Linked DNA regions of Oryctolagus cuniculus. The protein of the gene in region 3 binds, or shares a complex with, the protein of the main gene of each other region. Links are inferred from orthologs where the notes say so. Each region holds a gene or a part of one and is shown on either strand. Other genes may lie near its edges.

Evidence for each region.
Region 1: the proteins of guanine nucleotide-binding protein G(q) subunit alpha (region 3) and CASR are in contact, whole or in part, in a cryo-EM structure (PDB 8SZG), measured with the Homo sapiens proteins. The link is inferred for Oryctolagus cuniculus from reciprocal best matches to the Homo sapiens genes GNAQ and CASR. Residues at the interface, in NP_002063.2 of Homo sapiens: His63, Leu196, Gln197, Ser198, Ile323, Tyr325, Ile337, Arg338, Phe339, Phe341, Ala342, Lys345, Asp346, Ile348, Leu349, Gln350, Leu351, Asn352, Leu353, Glu355, Tyr356, Leu358, Val359; in NP_000379.3 of Homo sapiens: Lys644, Ala645, Asn647, Arg701, Val702, Leu704, Val705, Phe706, Ala708, Lys709, Ile710, Pro711, Thr712, Phe714, Phe801, Arg873, Thr876, Ala877, His879, Ala880, Phe881, Val883, Ala884, Arg886, Ala887, Thr888, Leu889.
Region 2: the proteins of guanine nucleotide-binding protein G(q) subunit alpha (region 3) and CCKBR are in contact, whole or in part, in a cryo-EM structure (PDB 7F8W), measured with the Homo sapiens proteins. The link is inferred for Oryctolagus cuniculus from reciprocal best matches to the Homo sapiens genes GNAQ and CCKBR. Residues at the interface, in NP_002063.2 of Homo sapiens: Arg30, Arg34, Asp35, Arg37, Arg38, Leu40, Ser198, Val199, Phe341, Lys345, Asp346, Ile348, Leu349, Gln350, Asn352, Leu353, Lys354, Glu355, Tyr356, Asn357, Leu358, Val359; in NP_795344.1 of Homo sapiens: Thr87, Val88, Thr89, Asn90, Glu151, Arg152, Ala155, Ile156, Pro159, Leu160, Ala162, Arg163, Val164, Trp165, Gln166, Thr167, Ile241, Leu245, Gly248, Leu249, Val331, Leu335, His394, Arg396, Phe397.

What each region holds. Positions count from the first base shown.
Region 1 is NC_091435.1:78,389,042-78,399,044, forward strand, and holds the start of CASR (extracellular calcium-sensing receptor), read left to right. Parts: upstream 1-4,950; 5' UTR 4,951-5,146; intron 5,147-10,003. UniProt on the Homo sapiens protein: G-protein-coupled receptor that senses changes in the extracellular concentration of calcium ions and plays a key role in maintaining calcium homeostasis.
Region 2 is NC_091432.1:60,621,899-60,631,901, reverse strand, and holds the start of CCKBR (gastrin/cholecystokinin type B receptor), read left to right. Parts: upstream 1-4,123; 5' UTR 4,124-4,520; coding exon 4,521-4,671; intron 4,672-4,689; exon of another isoform or gene 4,690-10,003. UniProt on the Homo sapiens protein: Receptor for gastrin and cholecystokinin. The CCK-B receptors occur throughout the central nervous system where they modulate anxiety, analgesia, arousal, and neuroleptic activity.
Region 3 is NC_091432.1:152,213,260-152,223,262, forward strand, and holds the start of guanine nucleotide-binding protein G(q) subunit alpha, read left to right. Parts: upstream 1-4,978; 5' UTR 4,979-5,169; coding exon 5,170-5,305; intron 5,306-10,003. Other genes in the region: uncharacterized protein, read right to left, coding at 3,465-3,570, 3,836-4,056.

The DNA.
Region 1 (10,003 bases), on a different chromosome or scaffold from region 3:
CACTTTGTAAAACTCACTCTGAGTAGCCAATCCAGTCCCAAGGCACCAAGAACTCCATGGAGACTGCATTAATTTATTCATGAGGGCAGAGCCTCCATGACTCACTCACTTCTCAAAGGCCCCACCTCCCAAAACAACTATGCTGGGAATAAAATTTTAGTAAGGGTTTTGGTAGGGACAACCACACCCAAATCATAGACCCATCAGTGAAGTTTACAACACCCTAAAACAATAGCAAAGGAGGTAAGGAAATAGGAGTGGAGTCGGGGAAGGAGGAGCTGTGTCATTCAAGGACAGGCATCCCAGATGAGCCCCTCTCTGAAGAGGTAGCACTTGAATAGAGAGCAAAGGAAGAGAGGGAGAAAAGCACTCCAGGCAGAGAAGGAAATGCAGATTTCAAGGCAGGATGAACCGGGTGCATTCAAAGACTAGCAGGAAGCCAGTATGTGGAGTCAGGCAAGAATACAGAAAATTTATTTTATTTTATTTTATTTTATTTTATTTTATTTTTAAATATGGAACGCTTCATGAATTTGCGGGTCATCCTTGCGCAGGGACCATGCTAAACTTCTCTGTATTGTTCCAATTTTTTAGTATGTGTGCTGCCGAAGCAAGCACAAGAATACAGGATATTTAAAAAACAAACTAGAAAACCAGGCATGGGCTATGCAGACTTTAATGGGCCATGGATATTACTCTAAGTGAGAAAGGAAGTACTTTCTAGTCCAAGAGCTGCCAGTTGGACAAGCTTCCCCTTGATGCAATTATTCCAGTGAAATCAATCTATCCTTCTATGAGACTGTCTCAATATTCTTCTCCCTCTAACTTAGCTATCAAATAAGCTCCTTGGGGTATTCTGTTCTTAGCAATTAAGGGCTCCGATAATCTCTCAGATACTTCATGCAATTAGACCATGATTCTGTGTATAATGGATATTTAAGATTCTACAATTCCAAAGTAAATTTCCACACCAAAAGTATTTTTAAAAAGTCATTATTTTAAATTTTTATGAAAGGCAGAGAGACAGTGAGAGAAAGAAAGACAAAGACCTCTGTCTGCTGGGTCACTGCCCAAATGCCTGCAACAACCGGGAACTCAACCCAAGTCTTGCACCTGGGTGGGGGTGGCAGGGATCCAAGCGCTTGAGTCAGCTTCTGCTGCCTCCCAAGGTGCTCATTGGCAGGGAACTGGAATTGGGAACAGAGCCAGGATTCGAACTCAGATCTCTGATGTGGGCATCCCAAGTGGCATCTTAACCATGAAACCAAATGCCAGCCTCCCCAGAGGTAGTTTTAACTGCTGGAGACATGGTGTACCTCTTTTTTTTTTGACAGGCAGAGTGGACAGTGAGAGAGAGAGACAGAGAGAAAGGTCTTCCTTTGCCGTTGGTTCACCCTCCAATGGCCGCTGCGGCCAGCGCGCTGCGGCCCGCGCACCACAATGATCCGAAGGCAGGAGCCAGGTACTTATCCTGGTCTCCCATGGGGTGCAGGGCCCAGGCACTTGGGCCATCCTCCACTGCACTCCCTGGCCATAGCAGAGAGCTGGCCTGGAAGAGGGGCAACCGGGACAGAATCCGGTGCCCCGACCGGGACTAGAACCCGGTGTGCCGGCGCCGCAAGGCGGAGGATTAGCGCCAGCCTTGGTGTACCTCTTTAACCATATGTGTTTTTACACTGGTCCAAATGGGTTTAAGTGAACAGTAGGGGCAGCTGCCTTGGGGAAGTCAGCTTGGAGATGGGAAGTGCGGGCCTGGAAAGAGGGGGGAGCCCCATGCTCTTGCCCTTGGGGATTGATGCAGACCAAGTCTATACCAGAAGAATGTGTGGTTAGGGAGCAAAGACTGAATTGTGAATAAATGCCCCAGCACCGTTAAATCTCCCAGAACGTTGTCTCTCTTAGACCAGTTACCTGAGGGAGAATCTGCTAGCGCCCTGTTCCCTGGTACAAGTGTCACAGTGGTGCTCCTGGTGCTCAAGGCTTGCTTGGGGCTCTCCCCTGGGATTTACCCTGAAAGGGAGTTGATGCAACTTACATCAAAATCTGTCTTTGCGGAAGTCAGGTCTCTGGGAAGGCATGCCACCAAGTCTCAGATTCCCTGGCTGGTAGGACGTCACAAGTTGTAGTGCATGCAGCGTCTGAGCTCCTGCGGCTTCATTTCTGACAAGCAGGCAGCTGCCACTGCTTCTTGCCCTGGAGTGAAGGGAAGGTGGCGGTCGTCCCCGCCCCTCCCGGCTCCTCCCAGGCAGCCCTTCAGCAGCCTCTAGACCGCACTGGTGGTTGGAAAGTTCTCATTCATTTTGGACAGAAATCTGCACCACCATATCATCCATGCTCTGATCATAATAGAGCATGGGGCAGGAAGAACTTTCTAACCCAAAGAGCTGCCCATTGAACAAGCGTCCCCTTGATGCAATGATTCCAGTGGAAGCACCTTGTCCTTCTGTGGGGCTTTCGGAATATTCGTCTCCCTCTGGCATAGCTATCAAATAAGCTCCTAGGGGAATTCTGTTGTTAGCAGTTAGGGGCTCAGATGATCTCTCAGGTCTATCATGCAATTAGATCATGGTTCTGTATGTCATGAATGTTTGGATTCTACAATCCCAAAGTAAATTTCCTACACCAAAAGTATTGGTGCTCTTGGTTCCTTTCAAATTGCCTATGTTTCTTGTTTAAGTACATTCGTCTTCAATGCAAACTACACCACCTTGTAAGCGGAAAACCTATTATCACTTAGATATTAACTGCATAAAGGATAATAGCAGATGGAAGAGAAAGTGATGATATTAAATTCTACTTAGCAGCTGTTGCCTAGCAAAGGTTCGGGGGTGGGGAGCAAGCTTTCTTTTAAAACAGATTAGCCGGTGTTAGAGAGATGTGAAGACAAATATCACAAAAATGACATTTCTTCCTTGACATAATCCATAGGAATAAGAGAATTAAAAAAAAAGTAAGATTTTCCACCTTATGATACACTGTTATTTACTGTTCTTGTCTGTTTACCACAGCAAACCATGTGTAGGGGGAAGATATACACTCTGGGAAACACTGGCAAAGCCATCAGGCACCTGCTGGAGATGATCAAGTTCAGGTCTGGGTGCTATTGCCTCCTGGCTGCCCAGTCCTAGCTACTGTAGCACTGTAAGCGGCAGTCTCTTCAGCTTTGAAATGGCGGCAGTACTACTAGTTCAGAGTGACAATTTCTTGAAGTCAGTACCCAGATGTGAGCACCACGCCCAGGTGTGAGCTGACCATCAAGGAGCAAGACAGCCATGTCATTCAGCTTTTGGGTTGAATGAATTCCCATTTTGGCCACAGACAAGGAGATTCTGGGAGCCAACTAAAATCTCTAAGATATTTTGCTGTGTACCCCCATCACAAACTTGTATGGCGGGTGTTTGGGCGTGAGGCAGACCCTTGGCACTTGTTCTTGGTAACCAGATTCCCGCCTTGACTGCACGCAGGTGTTGAACAGGTGCTGAGCTCCTACTCCCTCCCCCACCCTTCATCTGAGGGAAGAGAAGCCCATGGGCAGACGTGGACCCCAGGATTTGGCACCCCGGCTGCCGGGCTGTGTTCCTGTAAAGACACAACATGAAAACATTTTGCTCAACTATTTATCAGACCCTTTTCTTGAATCACCCATTTAAAAGGTAGGGTTACAGAGAAGAAATCTGCATTTGCATTTAATTAATTATATCTATTAACATTAATTTATTAACTAATTTATTAATTATTATAAATTAATTATTAAGCATGGTATCTATGCAATTTTAAAATTTTTCACTTAGCATTATTTGTAAATATTATTTGTAAATACTGTGTTAGTTCACATTGCCCTTTTGAAATCTGTAAATAAATGCTCTCTCCTTATTCTAAAAAGAACTTAAGGCACTTCCGTCTTGGTGTTTATCATTTTGATGGCTGTATAATATCTCATTAGGTCACCCTACCACAATTTATTTAACCAGTTTCCTATTGGCCTTACTTGCATTTTGTGTTTTTTACAGTTGTTATCTTCTGCCACAAATATCTTGTTAGGAACATCTGTACTTGCGTCTGATTTTGTTCTGGAAATTTCTCCAAGTGTGGAATTACTACATTAAAGGGAGTATTTTTGTGGGGAGGACCGGCGCATTGTTACAGAGACTAGAAAACTGCCCACCAAAAGGGTTGGCTTCATTTGAGGGCGAAAAGCAAAAACCGGTCCTCTACAAAACAAATTAACTTCCCACTTATTCAGAAAATACTGGAGCACGGTGATGGGTGCTAGGCGCCGTGCCAGAGACAGGACAGGGAGAGGGCGGGTGCCGGCCCTACGAGAGCCACAGTGGTGTCCGCTGGAGGAGCCGCGGCGCAGCGGGAGAAGCGAGCACCAAGCGCGCTTTGGCACCCGAGCGTCCGCGAGGAGCTGTTTGCAGCACAGACAGGGTCGCGGCGTGGGCGCTCACTTGACCTGAGCCCTGCAGAAGGAGTAAGAGTTCTGGCACGAGATTCATATTTCTTTCGTTGTGACTCGATGGACCTTTCTTAAAAACAAGTCCGATCCTTGGCGCAGAGAAGTCATCGTCGTAAGCCCTCAAGAAACTAAGCCGCTTTCCATCTCCAAGGAAGCAGGGGAAGGGGGACCTTCCCGACGGCAGCAGCAGGACCCGAGGCTGGGGCCGGTGACGGTAGAGGACCTGAGCGTCCCCCGGGCGCCAGACGCGACGCGCAGACCTGGAGAGAGGGAACGCGCGCCCTCGGCGTCCAGCTTCGGGGAGTCCGCTCCTTTCAGTTTGGGCTGGAGAGACGGTAGGGGAGCCGGGATAGAGAGCAGAGGGAGCCCGCAGGTGGGCTCGGAGCGGAGCTGGACTCTTTTGGGACCCCGAGGGGGCAGGCGGGCGGGGAACTGGAGAGGGGCGGAGCTCCCAGGTCGCGGCCGCCGCAGCCGCCCAGAGGGTCTGCGGGGGCTGCTGAGGCCGGACCCGAGGGCTGGCCCTGGGAGCACCAGGGAGCGGCGCGCCCCTGCCAGATCGTGACCTTGCCATTGCGAGCGGGGCCCGCGCGTGCCGTCCTGAGCTTAACCCCAAGCCCATCCTCGTGGAGACGCACAGCCGCTGGGCTGCAGCTGCCCCGTGCGAGGGAACCCAGGCCGGGGCGCCAGGTAAGACCAGGGGACGCTCGGAGAGCAGGTGAACGGGGGTCTGGGAGCCACTGGCATCGCGGCCGAACGAGGGGCTCAAGCCTGGGGAGCTTGGACCTTTACGCCTTGGTCGCGGAGCGTGGAAGAATCAGGACCCAGGCTGGGGACCCTACTGCTGAGTGACAGCCCAGAGGGGCTGCGGGTCGCTGTCGGGGATGGACGGAGGGCGCACTAAGACGCAGGCTGGGGGGTGCTGCCTTGTGCCTCTGCCTGTGAGGCGGTCAGAAAATTGAACTTTCCTTGTGTTGAGACGGGGACAGGTGGCGTTCTAGCGTATACTTGTGTCGTGGGGAGGGCCACAGCGTCAGCACCCGTCCTGCTGGGCCCCGTGCCCTCCCTCAGCATTCCTGGTCCAGGCCACCAGCTGCCTTGCCTCGGGGGGCACCACACGAAGGTGTTAGTTCCCACTTGCCTGATCAGACTGATGGTTAATCTTTCATTAGTTTAAGATTCTAGTTTTCAACAGATAAGACACGCACGTGATTTAAAAAAAAACAAACAATAATACAAATGTTTGCCTGGACTAGCACCGTTCCTACTGCCCACCTTGTTGACCTGCATCCTGCCTGCTCTGCTTGTCCTGTGGCCTCCTCTTGGCACTTTATTCCGCTCCTGCATTTTGAATATACCAGCAGGAAATGACGTCACCACCACTGCCGGCAGCCTTCAAGTCCAGCGCTCTCCCTTGGAGCAGCTCAGCTTTCCTCTCAAGGGGGTCTTCAGGGTAGGGGGCCCACTGAGGAGAAGACAGCTCGTTTGCTTAACTCTGCCAGCCCTGTGAAGAAAGGCCATTGGGGAAGAGCCCAGGAGTCTGTACTGACCTCTTCTCTTCAGGACATGGGGCCTTGCAAGTGCGCCCGCTCGGTGGCGTCTGGTACTGAGGGGAGCGAATGAAGGGTGTTTCCTGCCTTGCACTAGATTTCCAGGATGGAAGGCGCCACTAGCGGCTGGCTCTTCCTTAAAGTAGAACTTGGCCAGTTCCACCTGGCTCTGTCTCTCCTGCCTCCAGCCCACGTCTCCCAGGGTGAAGTGCCCCTGTAGGTACTTTAGAAGGAGGGTGCCTTGGGCCTGCCTCTGTGAAGGGGTTCCAGGGCCAAAAGCTCTGTGGAGTTGGGGAGATGTAAAAGAGGGAGTTGGAGGAGAACAGGGTAGCAGGAAGGGAGGTGCAGTCCGAGACCCTTAGGTGCAGAAGAATCCTAGCACGCAGGGCCCTGCCTCTCCCAGAGGCCCCCGGATCATTTTGTTGAGAGATCACACAGGTGGCTTCCTTCGTGTTAACAACAGGCACACTCAGTTTTTTTCCAAGACTTTTTCTAGGCTAGGCCAAAGTGTATTGAGAAATAAAAAAAATTCAGCAAATCACCCCCATTTTTGTTTATATGATAGAATGGAGTAGTTGAAATTGTTTCTACTGAATTAACAGGTACTTAAGGAGCTAGGTGAATTGTTTAAAACACCTAATGGCTCCTCCAGCCACCACATTTTCTTTTATTTTCTCCCTTTCTCGGTGTTGTGTGACCTTGAGCTGAACCCACGTCTGTCAGAAAGTTTGAGTTGGTTAGATGCTACCACTTCTCAGGTTCATTGACTGTGAGGTGGGGGTGGGGGAGGAAGGAGAGGATTAGGACTGATCCTTGGGGGTGGGGGCAGGCAGTGACCAAGAAGGATAGGGTGAGTGCGAGTACAGATTGGCAAGGAGCTGCTTGTCATCTTTAAGGGAGCAGGGCAGTGAGTGGGTAGGAAGTGAAAGAAATCATTCATTCATTAAAAATGCTTGTAGAGACCCTATCAATGCACTGCCCACTGGGAATAAAACTAGGCAAGGTCATTGCTTTGCGGGCAGCTGCTAGTAAAATAGCTGAGTGTTGACTATGTGATTGCAAACGAAGATAAGCTCCCTAAAGGAAAGAGGCAAAGTTCCTTGAAGCTGTATACAGACTTTCTCCAGGAGCTCTCCAAGGAGCTGAGACTCAAGGGCGGATGGGAAGGTTGGCGATCTCCTTGGTTTTGAGGTAGGACTGGAGTGCATCAGTTAGGAACTACACTTGGCTGCTGGTTCATCAGGGAGACTGGCTGTCCCGTCGCTTCCGCCACACCACCTGTGCACAGGTGCAGTGGTGAGCTTTCTGGCAGAGCATCAATGCGCTGTCTTGAGTTGGTCATGATTTTCCATGACTGTGGTCTTGCTTTTAAATTAAATGCTTAGATTAACTTTAGTCTTATCAGTTTTATTTTATTGCGTACATATTGCAGTTCAAATGTGAATCAGCCATACTCTGATAAGAAAAAAATGTATATAAGCCTAATATCAAATTTGGCTTTTACAATGACAGTTCACTGTTATCACTGAATAGCTTCCCAGGTGGCAGGTGGACATAATATCATCGCTGGACCTGTAACCACTGCTCTAATTGGGAGGGTGTCGAGTTTTAGTTATCCTCAAGCTGCATATACCTTCACAAAGCTTCATATGCAGTTCTTTAGCAAAGAAGAAATACAGTATACCAATATTATTGATGTTGTAAGCAAAAGTAATATAAATCACACAATATAGTGCATGGGGTATTCCAACCAAGCAACGTGTTTCATATTCCAAAAAACATCTTCATTCATCCAGTACATTCGCAGTAAATTTCTGTGGGCTCACCACTGTGCTAGATCAGTAAGTCACAGCCGCAGCCTTTCAGGAATTCACAGCCGTGTCAGAGGGAGGTCCGACTCATCCATGTAAAGGGAGTCCGTACTGTGCTCGCTGTAGTGGAAGCATAATCAAGAACAGCGATGAGCAAGGTGGGGAGCCCTCAATTCCAAGGGGAAGAGGGGTCAGGATGTTTCCTGGAGCAGAAAACACTTGGATTGAGTCTTGGAAGATGAGATATTCCACCAAATAAACCAAGGGGGGAAGGCATCCTGGGAGAGAGATTCATGCAAAAGCAAACAACCAACCACCATCACAACAACAGAAAACAGAGGCACAAAGCAGTATGTCAAGGTGTAGGACTTGCAGGTGCTTCAATGGCCTGAAGCCCAAGACACAGAGAGAGCTCACTGAGCCATGAGGCTGGAGAGACGGGCAGGCTAGCAAGGTGGCTGACGGATGACCCCACAGGCCCAAGAGTGAGCCAGGGTTCTGCCATTTGCTAGCTGTAGGACCTCCGTCGAGTATCTGAGCCCTGGAAATTAATGGTGACAAAGGTCGTACTCCCTCATGGGATTGCTGTGAAGATTGAAATAAGATAGGCAGTACCTGGCACAGATCAAGTGCCCAGTAATTGTTGGCTCTTACTGTTGTTGTTTCTCTGAGGGCAAAGGAGGATGTGAGAGGATTCTACCTGGGAGGGCGTCTTAGAGAGATTTTGGTTCAGCGCCCAGTCATCCTGACCGCATGTGGATGCGAGGTTTGAAGGGAGCAGAGTGACCACTTAGAGATGTTGCGACTCTTCACATATGGTGAAGTGCCCGGACCGTAGTGGTTACAGCAGTGGCCATGGAGAAAGAGAGCTAAATGCTTGAGCTATCCCCCAGGGAGACTCCACCACAGAACTCAGTCATCGGATGTGCTGTGCGGAGAGAGAAGGTGGAGACGCCATATCTGAGACTCAGGTCTGCGGTCCTTTGGCTCTGTGTGACCCACGTGTTCTTGGGGTAAATCAGAGGGAACTGGGTCTCACACAGGGCTGGAGATTAGGAACCTGGGAGGGGCTTATGTGCAGAAGACTCCATGATTGGTACCAAAAATGTTGACTGTCCAATTCAGAGGACTCCTGGATGACTTCTGGGTTGTAACACAAAGCAGAATCAGGACGGTCTAGGGTGATCCTGGACAGATATAATCCTGTCTCTTCCTGTGTCTCCCTTGTGGGAGGCTTAGTTCAGGGCAAATGAACTTTAGACTTCAGCCGTTTGTCATCGCTGCGGAGGGCACATAAAACCTTCCCTCCTGCCTGCTGGTTTGGATAGCCTCTGATCTGACAGCAGCCTGATTGATTTTTTTTTTTTTTTTTTTGCTTCTGCTTTTCTCAAGTGTCCTCCCACAATCCAGCAAGCACTGATTGAGGTGCCCACACAAAGTGATTAAAGTCGGTGAGTGTGAGGGGGCTTGGGTGGTGACTGACTTGTGTGATAGCATTTGTTGAACAGTACCCAGGAGTGATGTGTCTGTTTCTACCCACAGTGGATGCAAGGAAGTGTTCATTAAGTGTGTACTGTCAGCTTCAGTTGCTTGAACAGCTGTATTATTACTTGAAGCCACAGCAATGAGCAGACAGCATAATTAAGCAGCGCCAAGTGAGTGAGGTGGCCAAATGTGGAATGAGGGAAAATAAGATTAGCCTCGGTTCTGGACAGTCTTTGGTTGAAAGTGGACTTTGTGGGGCCGGCGCTGTGGCATAGTAGGCTAAGCCTCCACCTGCAGCATCCCATATGGGCGCCAGTTCTGGTCCCGGCTGCTCCTCTTCCAAAGAAGCTCCTGTCTTCTGGCTTCTGATCAGCTCAGCTCCGGCTGTTGTGGCCATCTGGGGAGTGAACCAGCAGATGGAAGACTTTCTCTCTGTCTCTCCCTCTCTATGTCTGTAACCCTACCTCTCAAATAAATTAAAAATAATTTTTTTTTAAAAAGTGGTTTGGGAACCAGAGTTGTGGTACAATGTGTAAGACCACCACCTGAGACACCAGTGTCACATATCAGAATGCTGGTTCACACCCTAGCTACTCTGCTTCCAATCCAGCTTCCTGCTAATGTGCCTGGGAAGGCAACAGAAAATGGCCCAATACTTGGGTCCTGCCACCCATGCGGGAGACCAGAATGGAGTTCCTGGC
Region 2 (10,003 bases), about 92 Mb from region 3:
TAAAATCACGGTTAGTGACATTGGGCCTGTATTTATAGTTCCCTATGAGGAATAAATGCAATTAAGGGTAACGTGCCTGGAACACAGTAGGTGATCATCATACAGTTGCTACCCAGTTACCAGAAATCTTACTAATTTTTATTTCCTCCTTCCCCATTACCCTCTTCATGCAAACCATTTAAATTTGGCTTTTACCCTCCTAAAGAGATCTGAGAGGCCAGAGTTGTGGTGCAGCAGGTTAAGCTGCTGTTTACAAGCTTACATCCCATATCAGAGTACCAATTTGAGTCCCAGCTCTTCTGCTTTCAATCCAGCTCCTTGCTAACATGTCTGAGAAAGAAGCTGATGGCAAGTTCTTGGGCCCTGTCACGCATGTGGGAGACCCATATGGAGTTCCTGGTTCCTGGCTTTGGCCTGATCCATTTCTCTACTATTGCAACCAACTGGGGAGTAAACCAGCAGATAATTGATCTCGGTCACTCTGGCTTTCAAATAAGTAAATAGATCTTTAGAGAGAGAGAGAGAGAGAGAGATCCTGAATCCATCCTTTCTACCACTTTCATAACTTTAGTTCAAGCCACTGTCACCTCTCACCTGAATGACTCTTATGCAGTCCCATTAGTGTTGCCCCTTGAGTTGCTTTCCACACAGCTGCCACTGCAATCTTGCCAAATCTTTCTAAATCTTAACAGATTTCCTGTGTTCCCACTTCTTCCTAGCCTGGTTTGCAAAGGTCTGCCTTTGCTGCCTCCTGATTGGAAGGAGCATTATTCTTCTACTAATTCTGTAACATCCACTTAGTGGCTTCAAACAACACCTGTTTGTTAACTCACAGATCCGTTGGTTAGAAATCTACATGGTGTGGCTGGGTTTTGTGCCCAGGGTACCACAACATGTCAGCCAGACTGAATCATGTTCTAGAGGAGTGGGGAATGACTGACAGCCTTGTTCTTTTGCTGGCTGTTGCCTGAGGACTGCTGAGAGCTAAAGGCCTCTTTCATGTGCTTTCCCTGTGCCTTCCTCCATCCTCAAGCCAGTAGCAGCTACCCAACTCCTCGCCACATGGTCCCCTCCATCTTTGAGCCATCAAAAGTGTGTTGAATCCCACCAACTCCTCAAATCTCTCAGATTGCTTCTGCTGGTGCCCAGCTGAAAACTATTAGCTTTTACTCTTGTAATTTGTTTAAGACTAGTTAAATGATATCACTAGCTTGAGGTCACTTGATTAGTAACATTAATTCTACCTGAAATATATCTTTGTCTTATAACAAAATACATATGGGCATAATACCTCATCATAGATAGATACTCATGGAGATTATACAAGGGTAAAGTCACTGGGGTCATTTTATAATTCCAACTATCCCAGAAGAAGCCAGGAGAATCATCTCTGAGAAATTGCTTTTGGGCTAAGATCAGATAAATAAATTAATTAGATAATAATGGAAAGGAGATGCTTCCAGAGAGTATGGCAAAAGCCATGTAACTGGAGGACATATTGCAAACAACAAAAAAGGTATGGGGTGGGAAGTAGGGGAAGACCATCATGTCTACAATAGAAAGAACGAGATTCATAATGACTTGAAATAAACTGGCTAGAGAGGTCAGCAGGAGCCAGATCATGGGGGTTTTGTAGATCCTGTTAAAAGGTTTTCTCTGGCCAGTGCCGCAGCTCACTAGGCTAATCCTCCACCTTGCGGCGCCGGCACACCGGGTTCTATTCCCGGTCGGGGCGCCGAATTCTGTCCCACTTGCCCCTCTTCCAGGCCAGCTCTCTGCTGTGGCCTGGGAGTACAGTGGAGGATGGCCCAAGTGCTTGGGCCCTGCACCCCATAGGAGACCAGGAGAAGCACCTGGCTCCTGCCTTTGGATCAGCGCGGTGCACCGGCTGCAGTGCGCCGGCCGCGCCGGCCATTGGAGGGTGAACCAACAGCAAAGGAAGATCCTTCTCTCTGTCTCTCTCTCTCTCACTGTCCACTCTGCCTGTCAAAAATAAAAAAAAAAGGTTTTCTCCATCCCAAAGTGGAAGTCATAAGAACAACATAATCAGATTTGTATTCTGCACATATTACTCTGGCTATAAGGTGCAGGATGTATGTAAGGAGCCATCATTTAAATGTGATTCCTTAAGAGGCTAAAACTAATGCAGGAGATTTTAGGCCAGTATCAGTAGCTGCACAAGCCGACCAAAGCAAGGAGAACTCGGTAGCTAAAATCAACAGGATTTCATGAATGATTGAATATGGGAATGATGTAGTCATATTTCCCAGGAAGCAGACTCTAAAACAGAGATTACTGTGAAGGATGTTTACTAATGAATGCTCTTGGAGTCAACACCTGTGAAAGAGAGAGGATGAAAATAAGGTTGGACAAAGTGGGACGCTGCAGTCATTTTGTCCCAACTGGGTTTATGAACATCTTTCAGAGGTGTCCTCCAGGGGAATGAGGGCACTTAACCTTTATACCTCTGAGCTGATCTGTGCTCCAGAAAGGAAACATGACTTTGGGTAAGCTGGCTTGCTTCTGCTCAGGCAACTCCTGAAAGGGACTGACAGCTGAGGGCTCTATTCCAGCAGAACTCTCAGCAACTGAAGAATAAATCCTTCATTTTTGACTATGAGTCTGGGCTTGCGTCACAGCCTCCATTACAGGAATGAGGGATACAGGGGAGTAAGGCAATAAAGATGACTCCTACATTTCTTATTTGTGCATCTTGGTGGATGCACTTATGGTCATACATTGCAATCACTGGCATAGTTGGGAAAATTTTCATTACAGTTGGTGCTACTCAGGGACACTGTATAGGACAGCTAGTGCACAGCCCTTACTTATAAAATGGTTTGCTGAACAAGTGAATGTTCATCTAGTTCTACTTCCACTCCTGCTCCCCCACCTTTTCTTTGTTCCCTCGGCCTTACAACCATCCGATGTGGGAAAGGTTCAGCAGGTTATCTAAAGCTCCACCTGTGCTCCAGCCGAATAAACAGCAAACCAAGCTCTTCTGGTCCAGGGCTCTCTGATGGGTAAGGCAGGCAGTGCCAGGTGGAAGGGAAGGTGGAGCAGGTGAGGACATCCTCATCCATCCCAGCTTCAACCCTTCTGCAAGGTTTCAGCCCCTATAAACTCAACTCTAGTTGGAGCATGTCCTCTCTCCAAGAGACTTATTGAACAAGGGCTCTCCAAATTCCGCATAAATCCAGACCCTATTCTCTCTCTCTAATCTGTTCTTCCACTTTTGCCCCAACCTCTTAACAGCTACTGCTGGGGTCAGAATATGAAATTTCTGGTCTTATCGCAGTTTCTTTGGAGTGGCGGAAGGATAGCGGGCAGGACTGGAACGCACAGGAGGCAATGCTGCCTCAAGAAGCTGACCATGCTCGCATCCTGCACGCGTACCTTCAGCTTTGTTCCCGCTGCACCCCAATGACCCAGCTCCCTTCCAACCCCCTCTCGTGGGAACTTGACACCCTACACAGGCGGCTCCACCTGCGCTGAGAGCAAACAGGAAGCCTAGCGTGTCAGGAGAAGGTGGGCGCTGCCTGGAGACCGCAGACAGCCAGCCGCCTCCTCCCCTCTTTTCCCTGGGCCCCCGGCCGGCCAGAGTTGGACCCATATTCCATCCTCACCCGATTCGGGGTTTATCTTGCACATTTCTCGGCGCACCTCCAGTCTCCCTCACCCCCGAGGCAGACTCTTGCCCTGGGCAGCCCTTCCCCTGCCAAAGCTCCCCTGGAGGCAAATGCTGCCCCCTCACTCCTGTCCCATTACTAAGGGTCGCTTGGAAGCCTGGGTATTGAGCCTTAGATAGGAGGTGAAGTGTGGGGGGACAGATGCAGGGGCTGCCCAGCCCGAAGCGAGGAGCTGCAAGAAACGACTGTAGCGATTGGGTAGCGATCTTAGCAGCCACTGCGGCACAGTACGGAAAGGCGAGGGCACCGGTGCCGCAGCGGGTGACCCCAGGTGCATAGACCCTGTTTCCAACGCCACCTCCACATCCCCTGAATTCCCGGGGTAAAGGTGTTGGATCCGCGGCAGGGCGCCATGCCCTAGCCCTCCTACCCGCCTTTCCCCACCACACACACACACACACACACACAGAGAGAGAGAGAGAGAGAGAGAGAGAGAGAGAGAGAGAGAGAGAGAGACTTCTTCCCCAGAGTCGGGGGCGGTGGTGAAGAAGGTTGGGCAGAAAAACCATCTCCAAGGAAGACGGGGGAGGCTTGCAAGGAGGCGAGGCTGACAGTCACGTAGTGGGCGCGTAACTCCCGAACCGGGCTGGGGGGCGGAGAGTCACCTGGCGGGACAAGCAGCTCAGAGCCGGGGAGGGACAGGCTTAGGCGGGGCGAGCCGAGTGCGAGTGGAGGGCGGGGGCCAGGGCCGGAGGCTGCGACCGGGCAGGGCGGGGGTGGAGTAGGCGGGAGCCGGATCGCGGCGGGAGCCGCGTCGCAGCGCGAGCAGGTGGAGCCGCGGCGGGAGCCCCCCTGGCTGAGCTGAGCGAGGTGGCGGGCTCGGCGGGGGCCATGGAGCTGCTAAAGCTGAACCGGAGCGTGCAGGGATCCGGATCCGGACCGGTGGCTTCCCTGTGCCGCCCGGGTGGCCCCCTCCTCAACAACAGCGGTACCGGCAACCTCAGCTGCGAGCCCCCGCGCATCCGCGGAGCCGGGACACGAGGTGGGTGCCTCCCTACGCCCGCGCCACAAGCTCCTTCTCACTGCACCCCATAACACTCATAGAGACCCCCACGATGATCTTAACATTGCATATCCAAACGCCACGGGATCCCCTCCTAGTACTATTCTCCCAGCCCCCGAACACCCCCCTCACACATTCAGAGCTGCCCCCGCAGCTCCTACAACTCCATCACAGCTTCCCGTCCCCTAGTTAGAACCCCTTCACATCCTGGTCCCCTGACCACCCCAACATGCAGCCCCCTCCCCATCACATAGACAATTGGGAGGCAAGGACCTCCTCCTTTGGCTGACACCTGTATATATCTGCCTTTTCCATCCTCTTCAGAGCCACAACTGGGAAGGGAAGAAAGAGGCAGGCAATTTTAGGAAGGGAAGGTGCTGGTTGAGGGAGGGAGCACTCTGGGAAGTTAGGGTTGTAATCTCCTGTGTCCCACATCCCACCCCTCGTCCTGCCTCTACTAATATCCTCAAGTCTGAATTAGGATGGACACTGGGTGATGGTCCTTACAGCTCTTGTCTCCAATTCACTCATCCTCAAACCTTTGTCCTCCCAAGCTGGAGTTCTCAAGGCCGTGTGTGCTCTCTCTTTTTCTATCTCCATGTAATGTCTCCAAATCCCTTTCAAGCTTCCTATCCAGCCTCTCCTCACACCTCCTAGAACCTGGTTTCCCCCTTCACCCCATCTGTTTGTGTCACCATCTCCTCTCCTCACCTCCCCTTCAGATTGCTGCCAGTTACTCGGTTTTCCAAATGACTTTCACCGTTCCCATCAGCAGCCATCTCAAAATACGTTTTTCCCTCTCCTGCACCTTTCCTTTCCTTTAGTGTTTCCTGAACGCTTGATATTGTAGTCCCTAGGCTAGGTGTTGGGAGACACAGAGGTGAACTAGACCCCTTCTGTACTCTCATGAGTCCATGGTCAGGTGGAAGGGGGAGATGAGCCAATGGAAAGAAGCACAGTCAGCATGGAACTCTCATGAGAAGGTCTGAACCCTAAGGAGGTGAAAGTCCAAGAACTTCAGAGGATGGAAGTTGGGAGCTGGGTCTTCAAGTTCAGCAGGTCTTGAGTTTAGAAGGCAGAAAAGGAAGGAGTGGGGCTATAGGACAGAGAGCAATGTTAAGGAGAAGAAAATCATTCTAAACCCAAGAAGAGAAAGTTGGAAATCAACTGTAATCCAAATGCCTATTTACTCCATACAATAACCTATGCTTTCTCAGCCCAATGTTACATGCTGTCACTTAGATTCCCTCATTCAGCAAATATTTATTGAAACAGAGATTGTATCAGGCAGAGGGGACGTGAGTTGAACAAAATGGACACAATTCCTACTTCATGGATCTCCAAGTTTAGTGGGGGAGAAAGAGTAAGCAGGGAATGGCAGCACAAATTGTCTTGCCAGGGGAACACAATGGAAATACAAGAGAACCACCTGCAGCCTAGCTTTGCCTTGGGAATTAAGGTCAGCCTCTGAGCAGGTAAGTTATGCATTGAAACCAAAAAGGTGAGGGACAGCCAGCCACATGAAAGAACACAAGAAGCAGAAAGCATCCCTAGCACAGGAACAGGATATGTAATAAATAAATAAATAAAACCTTAAAGTTTAAATCTGTGTCACCTTTGTTCAGTGTGACATCATTTCTGAGCAGCTGTGTACCATTAAAGAGAAATAAACACTCAGGCTGCAGACCAGTCAGTGTGTTTATGGAGCACCTTAAAGACCTGGCTACAGAGCATAGAGTTTATCCCAAGAGCAAATGGATCTACTGAAAGATTGAGTAGTACTGCCAGGATTCACTCTGTAGTGTAGAGGACGGATTGAAGAACATAAAACGGAATGCAGAGGAATACTTCAGAGGCTATTGTATTACACTGTTCTGGGAGAAATATGATGCTAGCTTACACTAAGATACTTGCAGTAGAGTACAGAGAAGTGAATGGATTTGAGAGCCACTTCTGGAAATGGAATCAACAGAATTTGGAATTGATTATAAGTGGAGAGGATTGAAGAGGTCAAGGGATGACAACTAGGTTTCTGGCTTGGACAATTGAATGAATGTTGGTGCTATGTAATGAAGGCAACAGACAGCTAGAAATAGATTTGGAAGAAGGGATTATTAGCTGTTTGGAACCCACTGAATTTAAATACTGGGGAGACTTTCCAGTGGGGTTACCCATTCAGCTGTTGAATTTGGAGGCCTGGAACTTACTGGAAGGGTCTGAGCTGGAAATATAGATTCAAAAGGTCATTGCTTACAGGAGGTAATGGAAGTCAGAGCAATAGATGAAGTCATACAAAGATTGTGTAGAATGAGAAGAAAAGAGGCCCTGAAAGAGGACCCTGTGGAAGACCAGTATTTAAAAACCAGGCACAGGAAGAAGATTCCGTGAAAGATATCCAGAAAAAAGCCATCAGAGAGACAAGAGTTGTGTCCTTCCAGAAGGCAAGGAAAAAGAGTGATAAGCATAGTAGGTGAAGCAATGTTGAATGTTGCAAATGTAATTCAAATGACAGAACAGGATATTTCTTTTTTTTAACTTTTTTTAAAAATTTATTTGACAGATAGAGTTAGATAGTGAGAGAGAGACAGAGAGAAAGGTCTTCCTTCCGTTGGTTCACCCCCTAAATGGCCGCCACGGCTGGCGCTGTGCTGATCCAAAGTCAGGAGCCAGGTGCTTCTTGCTGGTCTCCCATGCGGGTGCTTGGGCCCAAACACTTGGGCCATCCTCCACTGCCTTCCTAGGCCACAGCAGAGAGCTGGACTGGAAGAGGAGCAACCGGGACTAGAACCCGGCGCCCACGTGGGATGCCGGTGCTGCAGGCAGAGAATTAACCAAGTGAGTCACGGCGCTGGCCCAGAATAGCATATTTCAACAACAAGAAATTCCTTAGGAGAAATTTTTAAGATCTGACTAGAGTAGGGTGGCAATTGGGCTGGTGGTTGAGAGAGAATATGAGAAGTAAAGCAGGGTGTGTAAACAGACTTTCAAGAAGTTTGGTATAAGAGATAGAGATAAAAAGAGAAATAGGATTATGCCAAAATTAGCATGGGGTTGAGGAAGGTGTATGGTGTGTGTGTGTGTGTGTGTGTGTGTGTGTAGTTTTGTCTTTTGGGTGTTTGTATATGTGGTAGATAGAAAAAAAATTTTTAATTGGTAGGAAATGTGCAAAGAGAATGGAAGATTGAAGGTGTAGGTGAGAAAGAGGTGAGAAAGGAATAGTTAATAGAGCAAGGATCCTTGAGAAAGCAAGATGTGACATGATTCAGAGTGCAGGTGCAAAAATAGTCTTCACTTATCTGGATATTATTGCTCACATACATTCTGACGTTACCCGGGCAGTCAGGTGTCATATGGAGTGCCTGTTAGTCACATTCACTCAGCTATTATCCCACAGGTGCACATGCTGCCCACACTTACTACAACATTACCAACAGAAATGTAAATTTTGCCCACTTTATTCTTACATAATCTATGCAGACTTGAGTATAACCCATTTTCACTTAGATGCTACCCACAGAAATAGAGGTTATTCACATTTACTTAAATGTCACCCAATCATTTAGATGTTACCCACCAATCAAACACTTTCATTTTATCATTAGCTACACAAAATCACACATTCTCATGTTTAACTAGCCCTTCTCTAGATGCTGCCCTTAAACTCACAGCTATTATTCTTCCATATTTAGATATTACCTGCAAAGACTCAAATATTACTTCAGATACTCAGCTATTTCACTCAATCAGATTAACATTTTAACTTAGAATAATCTAAAGTGTTAACAGTTCACATCCATACCTCTTAAAAACTGCCCACACATACTTGGATATTATTTGCTCATTCATCTATTGTGATCATCACTTGGACTGACCCCCATTAACATATGTAACATATGTACTTGGGTTTCTCCAAGTCTCCCTAGATGACATATCATTTCATAGGTAACAACTTCAGGATACATAAATTATATTCAAAGATCTGCTCATTCAAACCTTACAACACTTCCTTAGATATGACCTAAGCTTAAATGCAACCCACATTGGATCAGGTGGGACTTAGAAACATATAGATGTTATCCTCCTCTAGATATTACTCACAGAAATAAGGGTGACTTTCACCTTCACCTATCCAGATATTATCATAAAGACTAAAACATTAGCCAAAGCTCACCCTAATAATACCTATTACCTACACATCCTTGCATATTACCTATTCCTCAGTTAATACCCACTGGTACGTGAATGTCCCTTATACAAACAGCTACTATCAGTCAGTTGTATGCTGTCTGTGCTCACAACAGAGATGCGGTATGACTTTGCATATATGCAGAACCAACATCCCACTGGAAAGCGAATTTAAGTCATCAGCAGCTTTCATGTTCTGTAGAGCCCCTTTAAAGAAAAGGCTGGTTCTTGTATTGTGTCACATTGTTTGTTTTTTTTGTGCCATACTTAGCAGCCATCATATGGACAGAGCCATGCAGATCCTCTAAACCCTGCGAGAACTGAATTGCCCATCTTCTGAATCCCTGGTCTGACTTCTGCTCTCCTGTCATCCCCCGGAAGGTAGTACCTATGGATAGACTATCAAGGCAATCCTGTCTGAACCCATAGAGGTGACATCTCCCATATTCCCACCTTTGCCTGAAATTCCTTGTCCCTAAAGCCAATGTGATCACTCATTTTCCACCACACAAACACACATGGATGTGCACACATATACACAGTCAGTTCTCATGTATTTTGTATATTAATTTTGTATGTTGGACATTGTAAAACAATAAAAAATTTTTTTAAATATTTTTTATTTGAAAGGTAGAGTTACAGAGAGACAAAGGCAGAGAGAGAGAGAGAGAGAGAGAGAGAGATCTTTCATCCATTGGTTCACTCCCCAAATGGATGCAATGGCCGGGGGCTGGGCCAGGATAAAGCCAGGAGCCAGGAGTTTCTTCCAGGTCTCAAACATAGGTACAGGGGCCCAAGTGCTTGATCTGTCTTCTGCTGCTTTCCTAGGCACACTAGCAGGGAGATGAATCAGAAATGGAGCATCCAGCACTCAAACCAGTAAACACGTGGGATGCTAGTGCTGCAGGTGGAGGTTTAACCTACTAAACCCCACAATAGATTATTTTTAGAGTAGTTTGATGTTTATAGAAAAATTGACCAGAAAGTACAGAGTTCAAAGTTCCCATATACTCTCACACCTGAAAATACTGTCACGACTGCACACACAGAGTTTACCATAATTACAGTTGATGAGCCAACATTGATACATTGTTAACTGATTTATTAACTACATTATTAACTAAAT
Region 3 (10,003 bases):
CCCAAGTGGCCCCAATGGCTAGAGATGGGCCGATCTGAAGCCAGGAGCCAGAAGCCTCCTCTGGGTCTCCCATGCAGGTGTGGGGGCCCAAATTCTTGGTCTTTCTTCCACTACTTTCCTAGGTGCAGGGGCCCAACTTTCCCAGGCCATAGGAGAGATCTGGATTGGAAGAGGAGCAGCTGGAACATGAACCTGCGCCTATATGGAATCCGGCGCCACAGGCGGAGGCTTAGCCTGCTATGGCTCAGCGCTGGTCCCTGGATGTAAACTCTTGTACTAGCTAAGTCATCCTTCATCCTTTACATTTCAAAGGGGTGAGGATCACTTCTGGTGAACTGCCTGCTGACGTTTTACTATTTTATTTTAGTACAGATTTCATTCATTTGCTCATTAATTATAACTCCCATTAGACCAGCCTTTTAGGGACTTACGATCTAGTGGGGTCTTAATGGTCTTCCATCTGTGAAGTACAATACAACCCATAATAAAGTTGATCTTGCATAAGCATGAAATAGTTACTTGACAAGAGCCAGAGAAATCACCTGTATGTATTTCATGCACAAGGTAGGAGAAAGATGTCAGTGAAGTTCTCTACTTCACCAAGTATATCCGTTAGGTGGATTTGGAGGGTGTTTTCTCTTTCAGAAGAACACATTGTGGTTCTAGTTCTTTATTTTCAACATGTTGGCCCTGAAACCCTTTCATCTGGGCAGCTCTGCTTAAAGAATCATCTTTTAGCTCTTTCGAACATTTTCCCCTAGGTGGCGCCATTTGAAGCTCTCTGAGCCTCTCTGGGCCTACATCTCCACCAAGCCCCTTGTATACCTTGGACAGGCAGCTGTGCCTGCAAGGCCTGCACAGAGCTGCTAGTTCCCAGCTCTTGTAGGACCTGCGGTGCTTCAGGTTGATTTCCAGCTGGTCTTTCTAAAAATTTCTCATTGTATTTGAAAGGCAGGCACATGAGAGAGAGAGAGAATCTTCCATGGTTCACCCTCCAAAAGCCCACCAGGCTGAATCCAGGAGCCCAGAACTCCATCTGTGTCTGCCACATGGGTGGGCGATGACCAAGCCCTTGAGCCACCACCTACTGCCTCTCAAAGTAAGCACTAAGAGGAAGCTGGGTAGGGAGGTCAAAGAGCTGGAATTCCAACCACACACTCCAATACAGGATACGGGCATCCCAAGTGTCTACTCATGTGCTGTACCAAACGCCTGCCCCCTAATTTGTCTCTCAGGGGACCATCATGTGCCTTCCCACCCTCCTTTGAATGGTGGCTTATGTAACTGGTCCTCCTCCTGAACTCTGCAGTCTGTGGAGTATTCCTTTATGCATGAGGACTGTCTGCCCAAATAGATTATAGAGTCTTTAACGACTTTGTATGCCTCGGGCATCTGGCATAAGACACTGCCTGCACTGGCAGTCTGCGAGCGTGTTTGTGGATGATGTAGGTGAGTGGCATTCTTTTGTTTATCCATCACTTACTGAGGATCTGTTCTCGGCTAGGCACGCTCTTGGGTGTCAGGAAAGCTGAAGTCCAGGCTTTCAAGCGGCTCCTGATCCTGGAGGGAAGGGGAGGGAGGGAGGAGGTGAGGGGGGCTGAGAGATAAGGATGAAGCATCCCCACAGGCGTGTCTGGATTACCCCTACAGGTTTTCTTCCCCAGGAGATGCCTTTAGAAGAGCAAAACCACTGTGTGAGACTGAACTATGCCTTTTTTGTTTTCTTTTCCAGTCCCCTAGGGACACAGTGATGTGCTTGTGGGGGTGGGTGTCCTTCTCAGGGCACCATAGACGTGAAGGTTTTACCATTTTTCCCCCTAAAGTTCAATGCTCTTACTGTTTTGTTCTTTGCTTTTGAGGTCTCTGGTAACTGCCCTGAATTTTCAAAATGGTCTATTGTCTATTGCTAATTTGCTTTTATGTGATATGTATTTCTGGAAAATCTACTTGTTCTTTAAAGTACAAACGTCCCCTTTCCTGGGAGGACAGAAGGAATTATTCCTTCCTTTTTCTTTCTTTACATTGTGACTTCTATCACAACTTTAATACAACCTGACTTCACTTTGTGTTTCATTTTGGCTGTTCAGAGGCTCATTATTCCTTTAGACTATTAAGCCTACTGAGGGTAAAGACCATATCTTATCTTAGTAGGCGTGTCTTCTTGGACCTTCACCACTAGTTACTGATACAGGGTAGGTAATGAGTAAATGCTTGTTGATTAAAAACCTGGAATTTTGTAATAGGATCCATGTTTAGTTCCCTAACGCTTCTAGGACAGAGTCAACATCAGTAATTTCTGCATGGATTGTTTGATTTTGGTTGTAGGAATATTTGCTAGGCACATGCTTTCCAGATAATATCAAAGAATTTTTGGATTCATCTGCATTCAGATTAGGACTTTCTTTTCCTGCTTCCTTCTTGACACCTAGACATTGTTTTATCACTAGAGTTTTGGTTTTCCTCACTTCTTGATTTGTTCCTAATACTTGTCATGACAATTCATATATCTAGTAACAGCCAGCCAGGGTATGTCTCTGATGCTGAGAATAGGGGATGACAAAAGTTTATATCTGAGATCTGTTGAAGCAGTTTAATTTCTTTCATCAAGCAATAGGTCAAATGTACTGATAGTCTTCTGATAGTTTTCTGGCACACTTTGAAAGACATTTTCAAGTCTCAGAGGACACTAGGCTAGGAAACCCAATTTGAAGCTCAAGAGAGCTATTTGGTTTCCAGTGTTTTGTATTTCTCCTACTCACATATATCCATGTATTACAGGATACAACCATATCAGGTTTTCCCGTGAAGCCATTTTACATCACTGCATATTGAATGCCATTCTTTTCATTTCTTTTGTCACTGATATTTAAATTTTCATTCCATAGCAAGTGTAGTGGTTCTTTGTAGTCATTCGTATAAATTTGCTCATTCTACTCTCCTGGCCAAGGTGAAACTCAATCATTTTCCTTGGCCAAAAATCCTTTTAAAAAATATAGATTTTATGTTTTGATGGCTTGCTTAATCTAAGTGCTGGCTTGGAGTGTGTGTGAAGGGCTGGAGGAAATGATAAATGAAGGAAGGAAGTCGCACACCTGGTGTCCATGAACCCAGGGTGCATTCCTGGCCTGCAGCAGTAGCACAGCCGTGGCACCAGGAGCATCTCCCAGCAAACGTGGAACAGCGATTCTCTTCAGAAAACACCATTTACCCTGAAGACCTCGGTTTCCATCAAGGCTGGAGGCGGAAGAGCTTGGCTTTTTGCAGCTTTCAGGCCAAATCAAGCCTGAAGGAGCAAACTTCTTGTTGTTACTTATCGGGAAGATCACCACGAAACACATACGCAACACTTTTACATAAACTTAACCGGAAGTGGAAAAGGAAAAATAAGAAAAAAAAAAACCTAGAAACAAATCTTGATTTTCCCATTTAAAATTTTTTATTCTTTTCTTTCATCCCGCACGGATTTACATGCTCCCAGAAGCCACCCATAAGTTCCATCTCGGTGGAGCAGGGTACATTCGGTGACTTGGCTGTGAAAACATCGCGTGCCTTTTCAAAAACGAGGAGCATCTGTAAAACGGAAACAAGAACAACAGAAAACCAAAACCAAAATCACCTCAACAGCATGAAAAGTTGGAGCCTGCCAGGAAGCTCCCGGCAACTTGGGCAGCTTCATTTTTCTGCTCAGATTTCTATCTCAAGTGAATTGCAGGGTCCTCGCCCCCTACCCCTCGGGGAGGCAGTGACCACTCCTCTCCGGCCACAGCCCACCCGGAGAGAATCGTATTTTCTAAGATTCAACTGGGGTCAGTAGTGACGAGAGGCAGCTTCTAACCGAATGGCGTTTGAGGAATAACCTCGGGAAAAGACAGAGGCCACCGCACAGCGGCCTCGCGGAGCCGGGCAGGGGGTCTCCGGCGCTGCCAGCGGGGAGCCGGGCAGGGGGTCTCCGGCGCCAGCCGGTGCATGGGCTCGGGGCCGACTCCCGCGGCTTCCAGGCGGGGCCGAGGCGGCGCTCCGGGGCTGGTGGGCTGAGAGGCAGGCGGAGGCCGCCATATTCCCGCTCCACCACGCCCGGGCGGCCGCAGGTTGCCGGGGTTCCGGCCCGCGGTCGCAGCCGCCCGCTCAACCCGAGCGGCTGTCAGCGGGCCCTGCCCCTAGCCGAGGGCGGCTGCGTCCGCCGGAGCCCGCCGGCCTCCACGGAGGGCGCGGGAGAGGGCGGCGCCCGCGGAGCCTGAGGGGGCCGGCCCAGTCAGGGAGCTGCGCGAGCGAGGCGAGAGCCGCACTGGGCGGCGCGGCGCGCGGCTGCGAGCCCAGGGAGAGCCTTCCAAGAGGGGCCGGGCGGCTCCGCCTCCCGCGCCCGTCCCTCCGCCTCCGCCTCCTGCCCCTCCTCCTCCTCCGCCTCCTCCCGCCGCCGCCGCTGCCGCCGCCGCCGCCGCCTCCCTCCCGGATCTGTGCTCCAGTTCAGAGAAAGAAGAAAATGTGTGTGTGTGGCGAGGGGGAGGGCGATCACTGAGCAGCCGCTCCGCGCCTGGCAATCGGGGCCGGGGGTGGGCGTTTGGCGGAGGCGGAGGCGGAGGCGGAGGCGGAGGAGCGCGCGGCGGGCCGGGCCGGCGAGCGGGGTTTGCGCGCTTAGCCGGGCGGTGGGCGCGGGCAGGGCCGCGGGCGCCCGGGAGCCGTGTCAGGCGGCGGCGAGGAGCGGGCGCGCCGGGTGCGGGGAGCGGTCGGCGGCCGCTCGCTAGGGGGGCGCCCCGGTGGATGTGCTCTCGCCGCCGGGCGCAAACCGTAGGGGAGCCTCGGCGGCGGCGCGGGGGGCGAGGCGGGCTGCCCGTTCCCGGGGAAGGAGGCGCGGGCGTCTGAGCGAGGCCGGGCGCGGCGGCCTTCCCTTGCGCGCCCCCCGAGCCAGCGCCCGCGGCCGCCTCCCGCGCCCGCCTCGCTCCGCCGGGCGGCGAAGGCCTCCTGCGCCCGCCTAGACCCCGGCCCACCTGGTGGCCCCGGCCCTGGCCGTCGCCCCCGCGGCGGTTCCGCGATCTCATCCCGGACGCGCGCCCAGGCGGCGGGGGCTCAGCGGCCACCGCTGCCTCGGGGGAGCGAGGGCGGGAGGGTGTGTGTGTGCGCGCGTGTGAGCAGGGGGTGCCGGCGGGGCTGCAGCGGAGGCACTTTGGAAGAATGACTCTGGAGTCCATCATGGCGTGCTGCCTGAGCGAGGAGGCCAAGGAAGCCCGGCGGATCAACGACGAGATCGAGCGGCAGCTCCGCAGGGACAAGCGGGACGCCCGCCGGGAGCTCAAACTGCTGCTACTGGGTGAGTACGGCCCGGGCCGGCCGTGCGGGCCCTCCCCCGGGCCTCTGCGCGCCCCCAGCCCCCGCCTCCGGCCCCTCCGGGCAGCCGCCCCCAGCCCCCGGGCTCGCCCCTACCCTCCCCGGGCGCGCCCCCGGCCTCCACCCGCACCCGCGCGGGTACGCGCGCGCGCGCACACACACGCCCGTGCGCGCGGAGGGTTCGGGGCTGCCTTGTTGGGTGCCTCGGCGCGTGCTGTCTTGTGTGTCCCTTGTTGTGGGGGGGGCTTGCGTTCTCTGCGGTGTCTCTGCTCAATGGCAGATCAGATCTGGCTAGGGGCGCGGGGCTGGGAAGGTGGGCTGAGGGCTTGAACTTGCAGCGCCGGGGCCGCCGCGCCCCCAGGGGTGGTGGAGCTGTGTGTGTGTGTGTGTGTGTGTGTGTGTATGTCGCCCGGAGGGTGGCGAGCCGAGCCGGGGCACAGGGCGCGGGCGGGCGGGGGGGAGATGGCGCGCCGTGAGGTGGCCGTTGTGCATCCATTATCGGTGCGTTCTGGGGTCCAGGAGAAGTGGGGGAGCCACCGGTGGGCAGACTGGCGAGTGGGATCCCCAGGGGTGAAAACTAGAAGCCCAGCAGGGGTCGACCCTCCCCAGCCAGGGGTTCGTGGGGTGGGGGCGGGGAGGGCGGGCAAGCCCCCGTGTGTCACCCGAGTGTTCTTCTGCAGCCACCAGGCCACCCACAGGAGGGGCCCAGCAGAGTTTCTTGGCCAGTGGATGGTGGCAGGCGTGCTTCTCGGCTGCACCATTCCTTCCGGATTAGGACCGGGGCGAGGGGAGCGTGGCTGGCGTGGTTGTTGACAGCGACGGGTATCTTTTGTCTAATGAGGCATCCCAGATCTAGGCCTGAATTCACAACAGTACCGCAGCCTTTCCGTCCCTCTCCGGGGGAAAGAGAGAAACCTTTTGTTTGAAACGGACAGCATTGTAGTGTCTTGGGCATCAGGGCTGCAAAGGAAAATTTCCCTCTGGTCTCTGAATCAACAGCCCCGCGTTCTGCTTTCACGCGAAGTTAGCAAGAGAATGCCGTCTCTCGAATAGGCGTCTATGGATGATTACCTCCGAGAGAATGCTCGGAATCAGGCCACCAGGGTTCACAGACAAGCCAGCGTGAGGGCACCCGGAGCTATTGTGGTCGGCAGAGGCCTGGAGGACGTCTGCACTTGTGTTCTGCGTGTTTGTGTGTGCATAATAAATGCGCGTCTCCGACAGGAGAGAGTGTGGTCTGGGCAGTTCGGGTGGCAGAAGCCTGTATTCCCTCTCTTATCTTGAGCATTCCATCTGCTGGAGAACCAACTGTCTTTGGGGACTCAACTGCTCGTGCACTGGATCCTTTGCAAACAGGAACAAAATAACAGGGCCACCCGTACTTACGAATGGCTACTCTGCTCGCCGGGCTGTGTGTCTTCCTTCTGAAGCCCTGTTAGACAAATGTACACAGGTTCATAAAGGAACAGAAGGCAGCGGGCTGGGGGGAAGAGGTGGGCTTGAGGCCGTGAAGCCGGGGGAGGGAAACACTGCGCTTGGAAAGTGAGGTTCTTTAAAAAAATATATTTTTTTTAAATTTTATTCTCATTTTGGAGGTTGAACATTTTCTGAATTCTCGGGATTGAGAAGAAAGTGGAGAGAACAAGGGAAGGTGTTTAAATACAGAATTCAGGGGAGAAAACATGTGGTGAAGAGAGACTTGTTTGAAGAGCTGGGTTTTCTTTTCCTTTTGCCCTGTTTACTGCCTTTATTTGTTTCTGTTTAGCTGTGAACAGGGCGTCTAAGGTCTCTGCAGTCAGCTCTGTTGGCCTGAACTATGACAGCTCTGGGTTTCCCAGCAGCTGTGCCTTAGCACAGGGGCTTTGTCAGAGGGCCTGGGTTTGAATGCCCAAGAGGGAAGAACACTTCCATAGAGGCTTAATTACATGCCCTGTGCTGTGCTTTTATGGAATGAACCGGGAGATCATTTTCTGAGGAAAGAAAAATGTAAGGTACAGTTTCACAGCTTACGTGGTGGTGGTGTGGAGACTTCGCTCTTATTAGACATTTCAGTAGGGTTTCATATGGCCCACCTCATCCCCATACTATGGCCCATTAGAAGTGGTAGAAAAATAGGATATTAATTGAGCATCTACATTCATGAGTGCCATTTGAAAATGCATCTCTCTGACAGAAGCTTGATCCTCACACATCGTTAGGAATTCCTACTTCATGTTCTAGGCGTGTGGCTTTTGTGACTTAACCAGTGCAGTGCCCACACTACTCACGTGGTAAAGATAGGTGCTGAATGTAGATGTGTGCCTGTGTGTGAATGGTGGGTGAGTCCAGGAGGGAGCCGAGGGCTGAGCTGAGCAGGGAAGGGTAACGGGGCGGCTTCCGGCAGAGGGATTTCTGCTGTGCTGCTCTGATGAGTACCCTGAATTTTCCCGATCCTTCCTTCATTTACACAGAGCCTACCCCGAGGGAGGGGGTTACAGAATGTGTTCTCTCAGAGTGTCTAAAGATCTGGTATTTTAAACTACCTACTTAAATGGAGGAATCAACCTTATAGTAAATGAAATGCAAGATAAAATTATTTTCAAAGTAAATTTTAATTTAAGACATGGCAGCATTTAAAGGAATTGTGTGGTAGGGATAAATGTGTGTACCCTTGCATTTGTTCACACAACTATTTAATATATATTAATAATATGGAGGAATTAGAGAAGGAAAGTAGTGTTTGGCTGACGACACAGAAGTGTGGCAGTAGAATTTGTGCTGTTTTGATTCATATCCAGCCATTATGGTAATGTCTTCCAAATTTATTCTGCAGTACTTGCATATTTTAATTTTTAATCTTTTTAAAAATGAACCCTGAAATCTACCACCTTAAGAATATCTTCTTAATTTCTGAGTTCATATTTTCTTAAAATTATTCTCTTAATTTATTTACTTTAGTGATTGTTTTCTTTGACACCTAAGGAAACTTTGTATTCTACATAGACATACAAAAGCATGCTCTGTTTTAACTTTACTGCTGTTTTTATGTATTTTCTAGGTGAAAAGTACATTATATTTGCTTTGATTAATATTCATGAATTCACTAAATATTTCTTTCAGTAGTACATGGGCCACACCATTTAATATTAATTTGTCTTCAGGTCTGTAAAACAAGTTGTCCCAAATGCTTGCCTTGGGTTATAGATGTTCATTGTGAAATTGTTTTCAATTCCTAGAAGATACACTTTTTCCCCTCTTAACCTGCTCTTATTTTATGCATGTTTGACATCTTTTCTGTTTAGATCATAATCATCAAATAGGAAGATTTTGCGAATTTGGGAGGGAGAGGGAGGGAGAGGTAGAGAAGAGAGAGCAGGAAGGGGAGGCAGAGAAGGAAGTGAGAGAAGGAAGGCAAAGTTTAGGTCAATGTTAAATGAATGCGGTCTTGGTTTTCTGAACTGAATTACATGCATGGCTGTAGATTTTATTCCTATTCTGCACTGCAAGATTGTAGGCATGGAGATTGTGTCTATTTGGTTCACTATTAAATCTCAGCTTGTTGTACATGTTCTAACTCATAGAATGCCCTCAGAAAGTATTTGCTGAATGAAAGATTTTATTTGTGACCCTCCTGCTAGAAGTTGGGATCTGATAATAATGAATAAATTATAAGAGCCAGAGGGATAGGTAATGTTTTTATCTACAGCACATAAAATCATGATCTTTTGAAAATTGTATGTGGCTGTTGGAGCCAGTTGGTTACAAATGCATCACATAGTTGATCCTGTATATTACAGTTCTGTGCTGGGTACACTGCGAATGGAACAGTCTTGCCCAAAGTGAAAATTTAAAGGAAAAAAACCTGTTGTCATCTTGATTACCTTTTTATCATGTAGTGGGTGGTTTAACCCTGTTGTCTTTTTGCCAGACATTTTTCTCTATGATGCACTTAGCAGAGTGAATTTTTAATATTCTGTTGAGAACAGATGATGACCAAACAGATTTTTGTGATTTACTTAACAATGTTACATGAGGAAAACCACAATGGGTAAATACAGAATTCTAGGGATTGCAGATGGAACATTTTTTGATACAAGGGGCATACATCTTGTACTGAACGCTGAACAGTTGGAGAGCAAGAAGAGACTCGGAAGCCTGGGAATGTTCTGGCCAATTTAGACTATATGGAGGGTTCATTCATGCACACCTTTGGATCAAAGCACCCTTCCCTCTGTCCTTAGTAGACTGGGGATGGGGGAGGGCTGGGCAGGTTGATGGCTGCAGTTAACCTAGAGGCTGCTGGCTGTCTAGAGGTGCTCCTTAGAACTCTAGAATGAAAGCATTTCTCCACCAACCCTAATAATATCATCTCCCTGGAAAGACCAGAATATGGTGTTGATGAAGCTGCTTTAAGGATCAGCCAGTTTTATTTTTTGCTACTGTTAGCTTCTGAGTGTTGAGTATGTTTCTAAATGTCAGGATTTATTTGGATGCATTCCCTCTTTTTTATTTTTTTTATTCCTTTGATCAAAGTCCTTAAAGTTTATACCTGAAGAGTGAAGTGGAGACATCCGTCATGAAAATCTGCCTGTAGCCCTGACTGTGTAGCAGTGCCTTCAGAGTGAGATCTTGTATTGAGCTATGTGGATGGCATGTGACAGTCAGTCCTGTGCTTAGGTTATTTCTTCCTGTGGGCACTTTG